3 linked regions of the Lepisosteus oculatus genome follow. Each later gene encodes a partner of the first gene's protein in a complex. Links are inferred from orthologs where the notes say so. Each region holds a gene or a part of one and is shown in the gene's direction. Other genes may lie near its edges.

Evidence for each region.
Region 2: the proteins of f2 (region 1) and fga are in contact, whole or in part, in a crystal structure (PDB 2A45), measured with the Homo sapiens proteins. The link is inferred for Lepisosteus oculatus from reciprocal best matches to the Homo sapiens genes F2 and FGA. Residues at the interface, in NP_000497.1 of Homo sapiens: Phe382, Lys384, Ser385, Gln387, Leu423, Arg425, Tyr434, Glu439, Lys440, Ile441, Ser442, Met443, Lys470; in NP_000499.1 of Homo sapiens: Trp52, Pro53, Phe54, Cys55, Ser56, Asp57, Glu58.
Region 3: the proteins of f2 (region 1) and fgg are in contact, whole or in part, in a crystal structure (PDB 2HWL), measured with the Homo sapiens proteins. The link is inferred for Lepisosteus oculatus from reciprocal best matches to the Homo sapiens genes F2 and FGG. Residues at the interface, in NP_000497.1 of Homo sapiens: His450, Pro451, Arg452, Arg461, Arg486, Ala489, Ala490, Leu493, Ile530, Val531, Glu532, Arg533, Cys536, Asp546, Asn547, Met548, Phe549, Cys550, His605, Phe607, Arg608, Leu609, Lys610, Lys611, Trp612, Lys615; in NP_068656.2 of Homo sapiens: Pro439, Ala440, Glu441, Thr442, Glu443, Tyr444, Asp445, Ser446, Leu447, Tyr448.

What each region holds. Positions count from the first base shown.
Region 1 is NC_090716.1:4,326,119-4,329,872, forward strand, and holds the start of f2 (prothrombin), read left to right. Parts: upstream 1-1,029; 5' UTR 1,030-1,087; coding exon 1,088-1,163; intron 1,164-1,747; coding exon 1,748-1,908; intron 1,909-2,947; coding exon 2,948-2,972; intron 2,973-3,754. UniProt on the Homo sapiens protein: Thrombin, which cleaves bonds after Arg and Lys, converts fibrinogen to fibrin and activates factors V, VII, VIII, XIII, and, in complex with thrombomodulin, protein C. Functions in blood homeostasis, inflammation and wound healing.
Region 2 is NC_090696.1:24,649,253-24,653,006, forward strand, and holds the start of fga (fibrinogen alpha chain), read left to right. Parts: upstream 1-1,069; 5' UTR 1,070-1,125; coding exon 1,126-1,179; intron 1,180-2,747; coding exon 2,748-2,867; intron 2,868-3,754. UniProt on the Homo sapiens protein: Cleaved by the protease thrombin to yield monomers which, together with fibrinogen beta (FGB) and fibrinogen gamma (FGG), polymerize to form an insoluble fibrin matrix. Fibrin has a major function in hemostasis as one of the primary components of blood clots.
Region 3 is NC_090696.1:24,640,969-24,644,722, forward strand, and holds the start of fgg (fibrinogen gamma chain), read left to right. Parts: upstream 1-959; 5' UTR 960-1,014; coding exon 1,015-1,086; intron 1,087-1,171; coding exon 1,172-1,216; intron 1,217-1,395; coding exon 1,396-1,579; intron 1,580-1,813; coding exon 1,814-1,898; intron 1,899-2,298; coding exon 2,299-2,429; intron 2,430-2,632; coding exon 2,633-2,766; intron 2,767-2,847; coding exon 2,848-3,032; intron 3,033-3,754. UniProt on the Homo sapiens protein: Together with fibrinogen alpha (FGA) and fibrinogen beta (FGB), polymerizes to form an insoluble fibrin matrix. Has a major function in hemostasis as one of the primary components of blood clots.

The sequences.
Region 1 (3,754 bases):
TGAAGGAAAATCAATAAACAGCCCTTTTTTGAGCTGCTGTTCCTGCTATCGTTGAATCCACTAAAGAACTACATTCCCTGCTTGTTTTCTTTTCAAATTATTAACAATCAAGTGGGATACTGAATAGTTGAAGTAGACATTTTGCATACTAATCCAGTTTTGTTAATTGTATGAGTCCATGGGGATGTTAAGTACTTCAAGGCCCTTGCTATTTGCATGTATTTTAAAATTCCTGTTATGCAATTAAGGGTGAAAAAAAACAGGGGCCCTGGTTCTGGTTAAGTCAAGCCCAGCTGCAAACAAAATGACTTCAAGTCCCATGAAAATGTTTACTTTGTGTAGTTAATTAATCAGATAAACCTGTTATTGGATTGAAAACTAACAAAAGCTGGAAGACAATGTATTCCTCTGGAAATTTATCCGGACAGCCCTACTTGCATGATAATCACCCGTGTGGCTGTCTGGTCAGGGAGGGTTAACATAAGTGAGCCAAGAAACAACCGCGTTGTGTCGCACGACGCCATGTTAATCAAGCATTTCATTCTTTTAAAAGCAGTGATTGAGCAACTCCAGGATCCTGCGATCCGATTCCTGTGTGTTTGACAAGTGCTTTGGAAATAGAAACTGAAAACCCTAAAAAACGGTGATTTGATTTTCTTATCCAAATAATGGGTTCAAGTTGAGTAAGATCAGAGGAGAAATGAAATCGGGGGAACCAGAAGATTTTAAGCACTGGGATTGCCAGTTAATTAACCCACCCCTATTCGAAAGATGGAGCAAAAAGCTTTGTAGTTAATTTCATCACAAGCGCAGTGCTTTTTCCTTTAGATATGGTCACATTAGAATTAGAAATAAGGTGCAAGTAAACACTGTTATAATACATTTTTTTCATGGCCACCTTTAGAATTGTACTCTGCCTTTCACTATGAACAGGAAGCGATCAGTGTTCCCAGTGAATTGTGACACTCTTCTCCTCTTGGGATTCTGGATTCAATATTAACCAGGAGGCTGAGCTGTTTTTTTTTTTGGTGGTGGGTGTCTGTAGGTTTGTCCCAGCTCCCTGTTCAGGCTCTAGACATCAGTAGCAATGGGTGGAATGTCCGTGGTTCTCATTTTCAGTGTCCTGTGTGCATCTTTTGTCCAGATCTCTCTTTGTGAAAATGGTAAGATTTTTTTTTTTCCGGCTGGGGTGTTGATTGTCCATTGCTTGCAAGTCAAGGCTGGTTTTTTAGTTCTGCTTGAGAGTCTCAGCAAAAAAGTGAAGAAGTGTCCTCTTAGTTAAAGATCATTACAGGGCGGACACATAGTAACATGGACTGTGCGCAGATGGTTTAGATTTTATCTGATTTTCGAACACCCCAGAAAAAGAGTAAAAGCAGGAACATTTTTGATTATGTCCTGCAGAGATATGACAGTTAACATGATGGCTGCCGAGAAGACAGCAAAGTCCGTTAAAGTTTCGATGTCTTGATTGTAAGCAACAATCCCAAAAAATCCTTCCAAAAATCTGTCTTAAATCCAACCAAGTGATTCAGCATTGTGAAGATGTAGATGGAGGCCTGTATTCTTTACATTTGATTTTCTTGTGTAGTATTAACAGTGTGAACAGGGTAATCATTTCCCCAAAGAAATCAGCAACAAAGTTTATATAATCTATCGTGTGAAATGACCAAAATTTTTTGACATGGTTTTTATGTAATAATGGCAACTTCACATTTTCCTTGCTATTAATTTTGTGGGATCTTAGTATTCCTCAACAGACAGAAAGCGTCCATGGTTTTGACCCGTGGCCGGCGTGCAAACACCGTTTTTGAAGAACTTAAGCCAGGCAATATGGAACGAGAGTGTCTGGAAGAGATCTGTGACCACGAGGAGGCCCGTGAAATCTTTGAGGACAACACCCGGACAGTGAGTTCCCAAAATTTACAAAATTGCAAACTCCCGTTTAGATTTCTTAAATTTACTTTTATGCTGAGGGTCTTTTAATCGCTCATAATGGAAAATTTTGTTGTGCTCTCTCTTCAAATCTCACGATATCCTAAAATGCGCATGTCAAACACAGAATACTAAGTTGGCAAATATATTAGCCTCATTGTCTTAAGCACATATTGTAAAGGTTACTGAAATGAAACAGTAAGTAAGCATTTGACCCATCTGGCTCATTTAGTTGGTAGTAGTGAAACTAACAACATTTAGTAGTTAGAAGGTGATCTAAGGATCTCATTCCAGCTGTTTTCTTGAACGAATCCAAGGTGTCAGCTTGTACAGTGTGGCCTTGTTCCAGAGGTTTCTCCTGGTCTTCAATGCACTTCTCAATAGTTTTTACTCGTGTCCTCTGAATTCTGTTTCACTGTTAGCTCTCAGCTCAAGTCCTTGTGTTTGGGTTCACTTTTTTTTTTACTGTATTCCATGTACATCTTGTTAACAGTTTTTATTTGGACTCCTCATCCATCCTAGTTTAAGTGTATTAAACGGTCTCTATAGGTCCTTACCATAAGCCAACTAGTGTCCATCTCATTCAGATGTAATCCATCATGCCTGTAGATCTGTTTTTTGCCACAGAATGCTTTCCAGTGGCACAGAAAGCTGAGGCCTTTTTCAGCACAACATACTGTATTCTCAGCTGTGTGTTGTGTTCATGGGTTGACATCTGCAGTTGGTCACCTTTATTTGCTGCAGGCCTTGTCTCTGAGGAGGCTACTGGTGTTGTCCTGCTCTTCAGGTTTGATCTCCAAGGCGGTTTGAAGTTGTTTCTCGGGGAAAGTGTGTTGTTTGTGCCAATGTCATTGAGTCACCACCAGCCTTTGCTAGGAGCCCGTCTCCTTTTAGGATAATGTTAGCCACATTAGCTACTGGGTGACAGGAAACTGTTTGTCGTCTTGGACTTGACACTGCATCTTGGAATAATTTAATTTATATTTGCTTCTCTTTATTTTTTTTTATTCAGGCAGACTTTTGGAAAAAATATTTGGGTAAGGATTGTCCCCCCCTTTCTTAAATTCATGTCTTCCAAACTCCACAAAATTTTAACTTCCAGATTAAAAAAGGATTGCTGTTATTAAATTAACGCTATAACAACTGCTGAGCCCCAAACATATAATTATAAGTAGTTCAGGTGGGTAGCAGCGTCAGCATGCGTAGTCTGCAAAGGAACAAGCGATAGGTTTATTCCATGCTGAAAAGAGAAGAAAAAAAACACAGCGTTTTGGCTTTGAAGCCTTCAAAACGTTGCGTTTTCTCTCGTCTCTTTTCAGCATGGAATAAACCTATCACTTGTTCCTTTGAATATAATTATAATACATAATAATAATTTGTTTTGATATTTGTTGTTATCTAATATAACATATTACAAAATATAGAATATTTGTTATCAACAATAAACTGTTTATGTCAGAAATATGTTTTTTTGTAATTCAAACATAGGATTGCTGTTTTCTCCTTCAGAGTTCTTCATGTCAATTGAATGATAACTGAGCTACAGTTCATGATATCAGAAACTGAACATCACACGTTAAAATACCTTTAACGTGTTTAAGTTAAATGACATAAAAATGTCCCCTTGAAGATCATTTATTATTTTTTAATTTAAATCAATGTCTTTCTGTGTTCTTATTGTTTGTATATTTCTAAATGTGAATGGTATTAGTAAATTCTAATCAGAAGGAGACTGTCATCTACATTGATGTGATTAGATGTATTTAAATGTCATTTCATATATCCATTCTGTAAACAAAAAAAAGTCTGACTTTATCTG
Region 2 (3,754 bases), on another chromosome or scaffold:
TATCGCTTGGAGCAGGTCCCGCCTGTCTAGTATTCACTGTTCAGATCAAGAGATTTCAGTTAGAGAACATTATGGTCCAGAGCCTCAGTGATCCTTGGGAGTGTAGAAAATAAACAAATGTAGTTTAAACCCTTGTAATTAACACAAAATATTAATGTGACACTTCTTCTTTCTTGAAAACACTGGCCAAACAAACTAGAGGCTTCAATAGGACTCTACTATATTACCTCTTAATCATGCCCCTGCCTCAACATCCTATAGTTTTATTAAAGACAGGTGTCTACAGGATATGTACTGTAGATAGGGACTGTATTCCCTATATGTAAAACCCTTGTGTGGATCCTAGATGAGTGCTCACTACAATCAATTGTCAAAGAAAATCTCCAAGAAAATGTCTAGATTAATGTGTAAAAACTAATACATTATGATTTAGGATATAGTGTCTTTCACTTTCTTATCATCAGATTTGGCTTTAACTAACAGAACTGGTAAAAGAGCAGACATTCTTATGTATAAAGCCGAAGTTCAAAATATTTAACAAAAAACTTGATTGTCAGCAAATACATTATTTAACTTCTCGTAAGTGATCAATAACCAATGATTCATTCTTATTTAACACACAGCAAACAACCTTAAGTACGGTACAGCAGTATTTGTAAACTGTTGACAGACATTTGTCATGTACCATTGACCAAGGAGTTGTTCAGTATTCAGATATGAGACATAATGTTTCCAGACATTAGAACTCATTAGTATCTGAAATGAAAGGGTGATGTCCTGTGTGGGTGTTCAGGTATCTCTCTGTGTGCTTTTGGAGGCATTGAACGTACATGCGCATCCAAGTACAAAGGTCTCAAACATTGCAGCAGCCCACTATCCAACTTTTTAAAAAATCTTAAAATCAATAGCTGAGTCCTGTGTCAGAAAGAACATCAGGGCAGCCAAAACAAATCACCTCAAATTGTGCAAGAAATTTTTCTTTAATCATTTACTTACGTGTGCTTGTTAGCTTGGTAAACAGTGGTAAATTGTCAGCAAACTTTGATTTGTCATCAAGGGTTCAAATTGGATACATATTCAAGCAGATCTGACATTTCAGCTCGCTTTTTGACACCACCAACAACAATGGGGCAGTTATACCACTTATGCTGGTTACTTATAGTCTTCTCTACAGCAAAGGTGAGTGCTTTTTAAAAATGTACTGTATGCTCTGACTTGATATTGTTGGTTTTATTCAACGATCACAGGTAACTTTATTATTAAGTGATATAAAGGTATTTTCCTATGCATTTAAGACATTGTTAGGTTACACTTAATAACACAGATTTAGAAAGCAAATAGTAAATACTTTTTTAAAGTGCTAATATTTCTGTGTAAGAAATTATAATGAAAAGGTTAACAAGTGAGTTAATTTAAAAAGTAGAGCTTTTATAATTTAGCTTATACTTTGAACATATTTCAATATACTTTCATCACCTGTTCTCCCTAATCTACCCTCTGGAATATCTGGTGGATATTATGAAAAGTGAGCTCTTGTGTGTATGAAACCTTTAGTAATCTGTTTTCACAAACTGTGTATTTAATTAAGAACTATAAACCAACTTTTCAGTTTTCTTTTTTGAGTATGTTAAAACATTTACTGCTTGCTTTTCATAACGTGTTTCAGAGTATTTTCTTCCCTTTGTTTTTTATTCACATTGGATTTGAAGGATTTAGGAGAAGTCTTGGTAGGATTCTTGATTTCTTAAATATATGAGTTACCTTTCCATGTTTCTGGTACATATGGATGTCAAATTTGTTCCAAGTACTTTTGAATTTATTCATTTAGGTGTATCTTATGCTGATTTGTTGCTCAAACACATTTATTGAAATAATGCGTACAATCAGAATTAATAAGAGACACGCCTCTCCTCCAACAGGGGACGAATCTCTGACAGGGGACTGTGGTGCCAGTAAAAATATGTGTGGCTTGATAGGGGGCGGGTCAGAAGAATCAGTCCTCATTCTCTCCTGTATGCAATGGCGAGGTGTATAGGTGCACAATTATTCCAAGTTGGGTAGATATAACAAGAATTGTGATTCTAAATTACACACTGTATTAGAAAACACATGCCATTTAGGGTAAATTCATTTTGACTAGTTTCCGCAGTTCCTGGATAGTTTACTTGTATTGACAGTTTGTGCAATTCATTATTCAGTTGGATCATTGTGTTCCATGTGGATTGTTCAGTTGTTCAATCAAGAGGATTTTTTCGTTTTCCCTCAGGATCTACCATATACGGTATATCAGGATCATAAGAATGTTTTCATTCACATTGAATTACTTAGTACTGAAAAAAATGTAAAGCTCTTGTAATGTTCTTAAAATATGGGAACATACTGAAAAGGTATGATGATATTGTTTTCCAGATTTATGTACATTTTGTGCATTAAACATAGGAAACATACAGTACTGTAAGTTACTTGACACACAGACTGGTAAAAGGTGACAAATAATTGTTTTGCATGTGAACTCGTGTTATGCACCAGGCACAGAACTCTTTTGCCAGATGTTTTGCACAATGCACAGATGCACCACACACAAATATGATGTGCCATGGAAGTATTACCATTATATTGTTAAATAACATTTTACATTTATAGAGACACACCCTTTCACACAATACTAGCAATCCATGCTAACAGGTGCATTTGGGAAAATGCCATAATATATGAGTCATAAGGTTTAATTCTTTAATGATTTTCAGCCAGAATCCACGTTTCACGAAACTGGCGCCAGTGGAAGAGGACCCAGACCAGTAGAACATGGCAGCAAAGCTGCATGTGCTTCTCAAAAAGAGTGGCCAATCTGCTTGGATGAAGACTGGGTACGGTTTTTTGTACAAAGTCTTAAGTTCCTGCTTTACCTTGCCAAGAAAATGCTGGTTCATCAAACAACCTTTAAATGATACTATCAGAGAAGGTCCAAATGGCATATGCTACTCAATGATTTAAATGTCTTGGAATTGGTGTTTTGCGATATAATAATCTACCTATTTTCAATAGCTGTTTAGTATAATACAGGTCTGCAATGAGAAAGAACCTAATCCAGCAGGCAATGGAAAAAAAAAAAACAGAAAACAACCTGGAAGCAATGCCAGTCCATCACAGGGATCACAGGGCAATTAATTGAGTCCACTGATTACCCATTTCAATCACCCATTGAATACCTATGTGGGCATTGAGCAGAACATGTAACATTGAAACAGAGTGTACTCCAGGCCTAATTATGAAGACAGGATGCAAGAGCTGTGAGACAGCTAACATGCATTCCCCAAATATAATCATATCAATTATTCTTGCAGAAACATTGAATTAAGCCTGTAGTCCCCACCAAGAGAGAAAAATGCTATGCCAATTTTGTATATGAAATGTTGTCAAACAGGTATATTATGAAAGATTTTCAACAGAATACACAAGTCTTGAACTTCCAAAGTAAGATAGCTGAGGTCTTTCTGTTAACATTCTTCATCCTCAGACATGAGCTCTTGGTGTAAAAAGCACGAGAAGATGAGGGTGAGAACTCTCATCAAGGATTCTTCATTATTCTGAACACATCCATGTCAAATCAATGTAATAGTCATATCAGGTCTTTTATTTTGTTTTATTGGTTGTATCTGAGCGATACAATAGAAATAATCTCAGATAGGTTCTGTACCTATTTCGCCTGTTGTGCCTGGTTATAGTCAATACATGGCTGTACATCATGGTAGCG
Region 3 (3,754 bases), on another chromosome or scaffold:
CGGGGGAGAGTGTAACGCTTACAGCCGACAGGCACTGTGTAAGAGCCGGCGTACCAGAGCGGGTGACATCACCGCCCTTCCCTGTGATAGCAGGACCACAGCTACTGGGCTGAAGAGAGATCTCTCTTTAGCTCACGGGGCTAGGTCGCTGCAGAGAGACGCGGAAGTCCCGGGTTCGAGCCTCCAGTCGGGATGGGGCCGACCAGATGCGGCAAGGGCGCCTGCCTGAGCCCCCGTTGAGTTACAATATGTAGTTAAGCCTGCAGCCTAAATCCACTGAATATTCATCCACTTGAGACACCTTGCTATTGGCTTGTATATGCATCCTAAGCAATTCCTGATGTACAGTAGTCCAAAACTGGGCCTTAGGTCCCAGAAGCTCTCATTCTTTGTCCAATTGAATAGGTTCATAATTCTCACCAACACACAGCCTATGGGTGACACTCCTGGAACTGCTGCAGGAAGCAATGGAAGCAGTCAGGTGTGCTTGTGAGTGGTGAAAGCATCTCACTGCTGGCAAAATGTCTCTATGGTCCACTAACACTACCTCACTGGAGCTGCCACTGGATACACTAGGTTTTGAACCAATGGAAAAAAAACATTTCTCAGAGCTTTTTACAGTAATCATGATACTGTTAGATCACACACATGTGACAAGTCTCGTAATTTAGTTGGTAGTTGGAAACTGTGTGAACTAATACTCCATGTAGCTTTGTATATAATTACATATTTGGTTATGTTGGCTTTTGAAGAAGTATGGGAACTATGATTTTTTTTAATAAATTGCTTACTACGTCTGAATAAGTACGTTTTCGTAATTCAGACTGACAAAATGTTCTCCAAACAGAGTGAGTAACTGGGATACAGTGACAGCTGTCAATACAACTGACCTCAGAGATTATGCACCTCCCATTATCTTGGGCTGCATGGAGAGTACAGATCAGATAAATTTCGTCTCCCTATTGAGACATTTCACTTTTCACAGAGAAGGCAACAAAGACTTTTAACTACAACATGGGGGTGTTGAAAGCGCAGACTTTCTTTCATATAACCCTTTTTGTCCTTATGGTTTCGTCAAGTTTGGCGGTAAGTCATATTCCATTTCAGAGAAAATCGATGTACTGTATGTAAAATTAAAACGTCTCTAAATCGTTATGCTTTATTTTCCTAGCAATATTCATCGCAACCGGAAGTTTGCACCCCAAGTGATAACTTCGTAAGTTAGTTTTTTTTACTCAAGGGCCTATGTATCACTATTTGTAAAAGTTTTATACGAAATGTTGACATTAAATGACATTTATTTTAATTATATTCTATGGCAACGTGATGCTGTTGTTGTTGTATTGGCGCAACTTTAATTCTTTGCTTATTTGAGGGTTTGTTCTGATTTTACAGGGGCGATATTGTCCCACAACATGTGGAATCGCAGATTACCTACAGCGATACAAACCCAGCGTTGATGAGGATCTTAAATACTTGGAGAATTTACTAACCCAGATATCAAATTTAACTAAAGGGGCACAGGAAACTGTAGTATACATGAGAGACTCCAGTACAGCTGCGCAAAAGTCTTCACCAGGTAAAGTGCATTTCAATGGATACATCGCTGAAAGATTATGATTAGAATGTATTATACATATAACGCTACTAACGCTAGTAAATGCTCTCCCAAAACAACATTGTAGACATTATAAGACTATAAGTACCATACTTCAGAATCGACTGACATCGCACAACTTAGTCAAACTTTATTGTATTAGGACAATCATACCCCATTTCTATTTTTATCAGACAATTGTTTTCTTAATTTCAGATAGTTACATAAAAAAATCAAGCAGCATGTTGGATGATATTCTGCGATTTGAGAAGAGTATTGTCTATCAGGAGGGACAGATATAGTGAGTAAATTGATTGGTTTTGTTTTGTTTAAGATGCCTTGAAGTTAAAATCTCGTTTGGTTGTATTGAATGAAATAATGCTACTTGAATGGAATAATAATGCTAATGAAAGCAAATAACTTAATATAACTTAAGGTGTGGATATTTGCTTGCAACTCTACAGATGGACAGAAGTATTCTCGCCAGGAATATTGTATTGCAGTATTTCACTAGAACATCTTAAATTCAATTTGCTAGAAAAAAATCAGTAAACTAAGAAGAGATACAGTATAACTTCCTTGTAGCTGTCATTTAACAAATTACATTTATTGCATTTGATAGATTGGTGAAAGGCATTCTTTTAGTTGTATGGTGCCATTTCAGTTACGTATAAATAACTCTGTTACTTATTTTTTCCTAGTGAGCTCCAAAATATTATAGATTCAAATGACAAGAGAATTTTGCAACTCAAACAAATGGCTCTCAACCTTGAGCAATCTTGTAAACAGCCCTGCAAAGATACTGTTGAGATTCAACCAACTACTGGAAAAGGTATTTTGACAAATGTCAGAATTTTAAATTGGTTCCTAAGTAAACAGAAAACATTTTTGTTGTCCTGTATTATTTAAGATGATTTGGGAATATGTATTTTTTGAACAATGGTATATCATGATAACATTCTGTACTAAGCCAGTGGTCAGTGTTGCTGCTACTCATTTTATTTCTTTCTCTGCTGCATTATTATTTTCTATCAGATTGCCAAGACATTACCAACAAAGGTGCCAGGGTCAGCGGTCTGTACTTTATCAAACCAGTAAAAGCAAAAGAACAATTCTTGGTTTACTGTCAAATAGACAGATTTGGGAATGGTTGGACAGTCCTTCAAAGGGTAGGTAGAATTTAAATAACTGTTTATCAAAATTCATTTGCAATACATGAGGAAAAATACATATTTTTCTTTATTTTTTAGAGACGTGATGGCTCTGTGAATTTCTTCAGGAACTGGATTCAGTACAAAGAGGGATTTGGTTACTTGACTCCAGATGATACGTCTGAATTCTGGATTGGGAATGAAAAAATTCATCTGATTTCCACCCAGTCCAGTATTCCATATATTCTAAGGCTTGAGATGACAGACTGGAATGGCCAGACAAAGTACAGTATAAAATAATATAATGAAAAGATTGAGAAATGTGGTTATTCTGCAAAGATTAAGAGGGTGATTCTTTTGATTTTCAGTTCTGGAGAAAAGTGGGATGGCAACTTTGCTGGGAATTATAGTAAACATTTAAATGCAAATCTACATACAAATGCACAAAGTAGAAACATATAAAATATGTATTTTTTCACTTAAATATAACTCAAGAAAACAAAGGTGGTTTTAGGAGTTAGGAAAGTCAGGGCTATGTTTTCATATCAGGGCATGAAAAGCTGCGTAACCTGGTCATATTTGAGAAGTCTCCGCTGCATGGTTTTTATACAACAGAATTTCTTGACTACTGTATATCCATAAAACGTGCTTAGTTGTCAGTTTTATTTATGAACTGAATAAAAAATATTTGAAGTACTTCAATACATCTTACTTGTAAATAGTTGTCTTAGCTATCTTAAATAATTAGTGAACATTTTGAAGTGCGGAGTTCTTGTGAAACATTGCACTTTGATCCATATTACATAACGGTTGCTTATTCTATCTTAAATATGAGGTGACACCAATTTGACCTTGCTGTGTGTACTGGCTGTGCCAAGTTAAAAACAGTTTACTTTGCTGAACAGTTATATGCTGTACACTGCTTCGCAGGGAAGGTTTTAAAGCATCTATAGATAATTGCACTACACAAGTCTAAAGTAATGGGATCTTTATTGGCATGTATTGT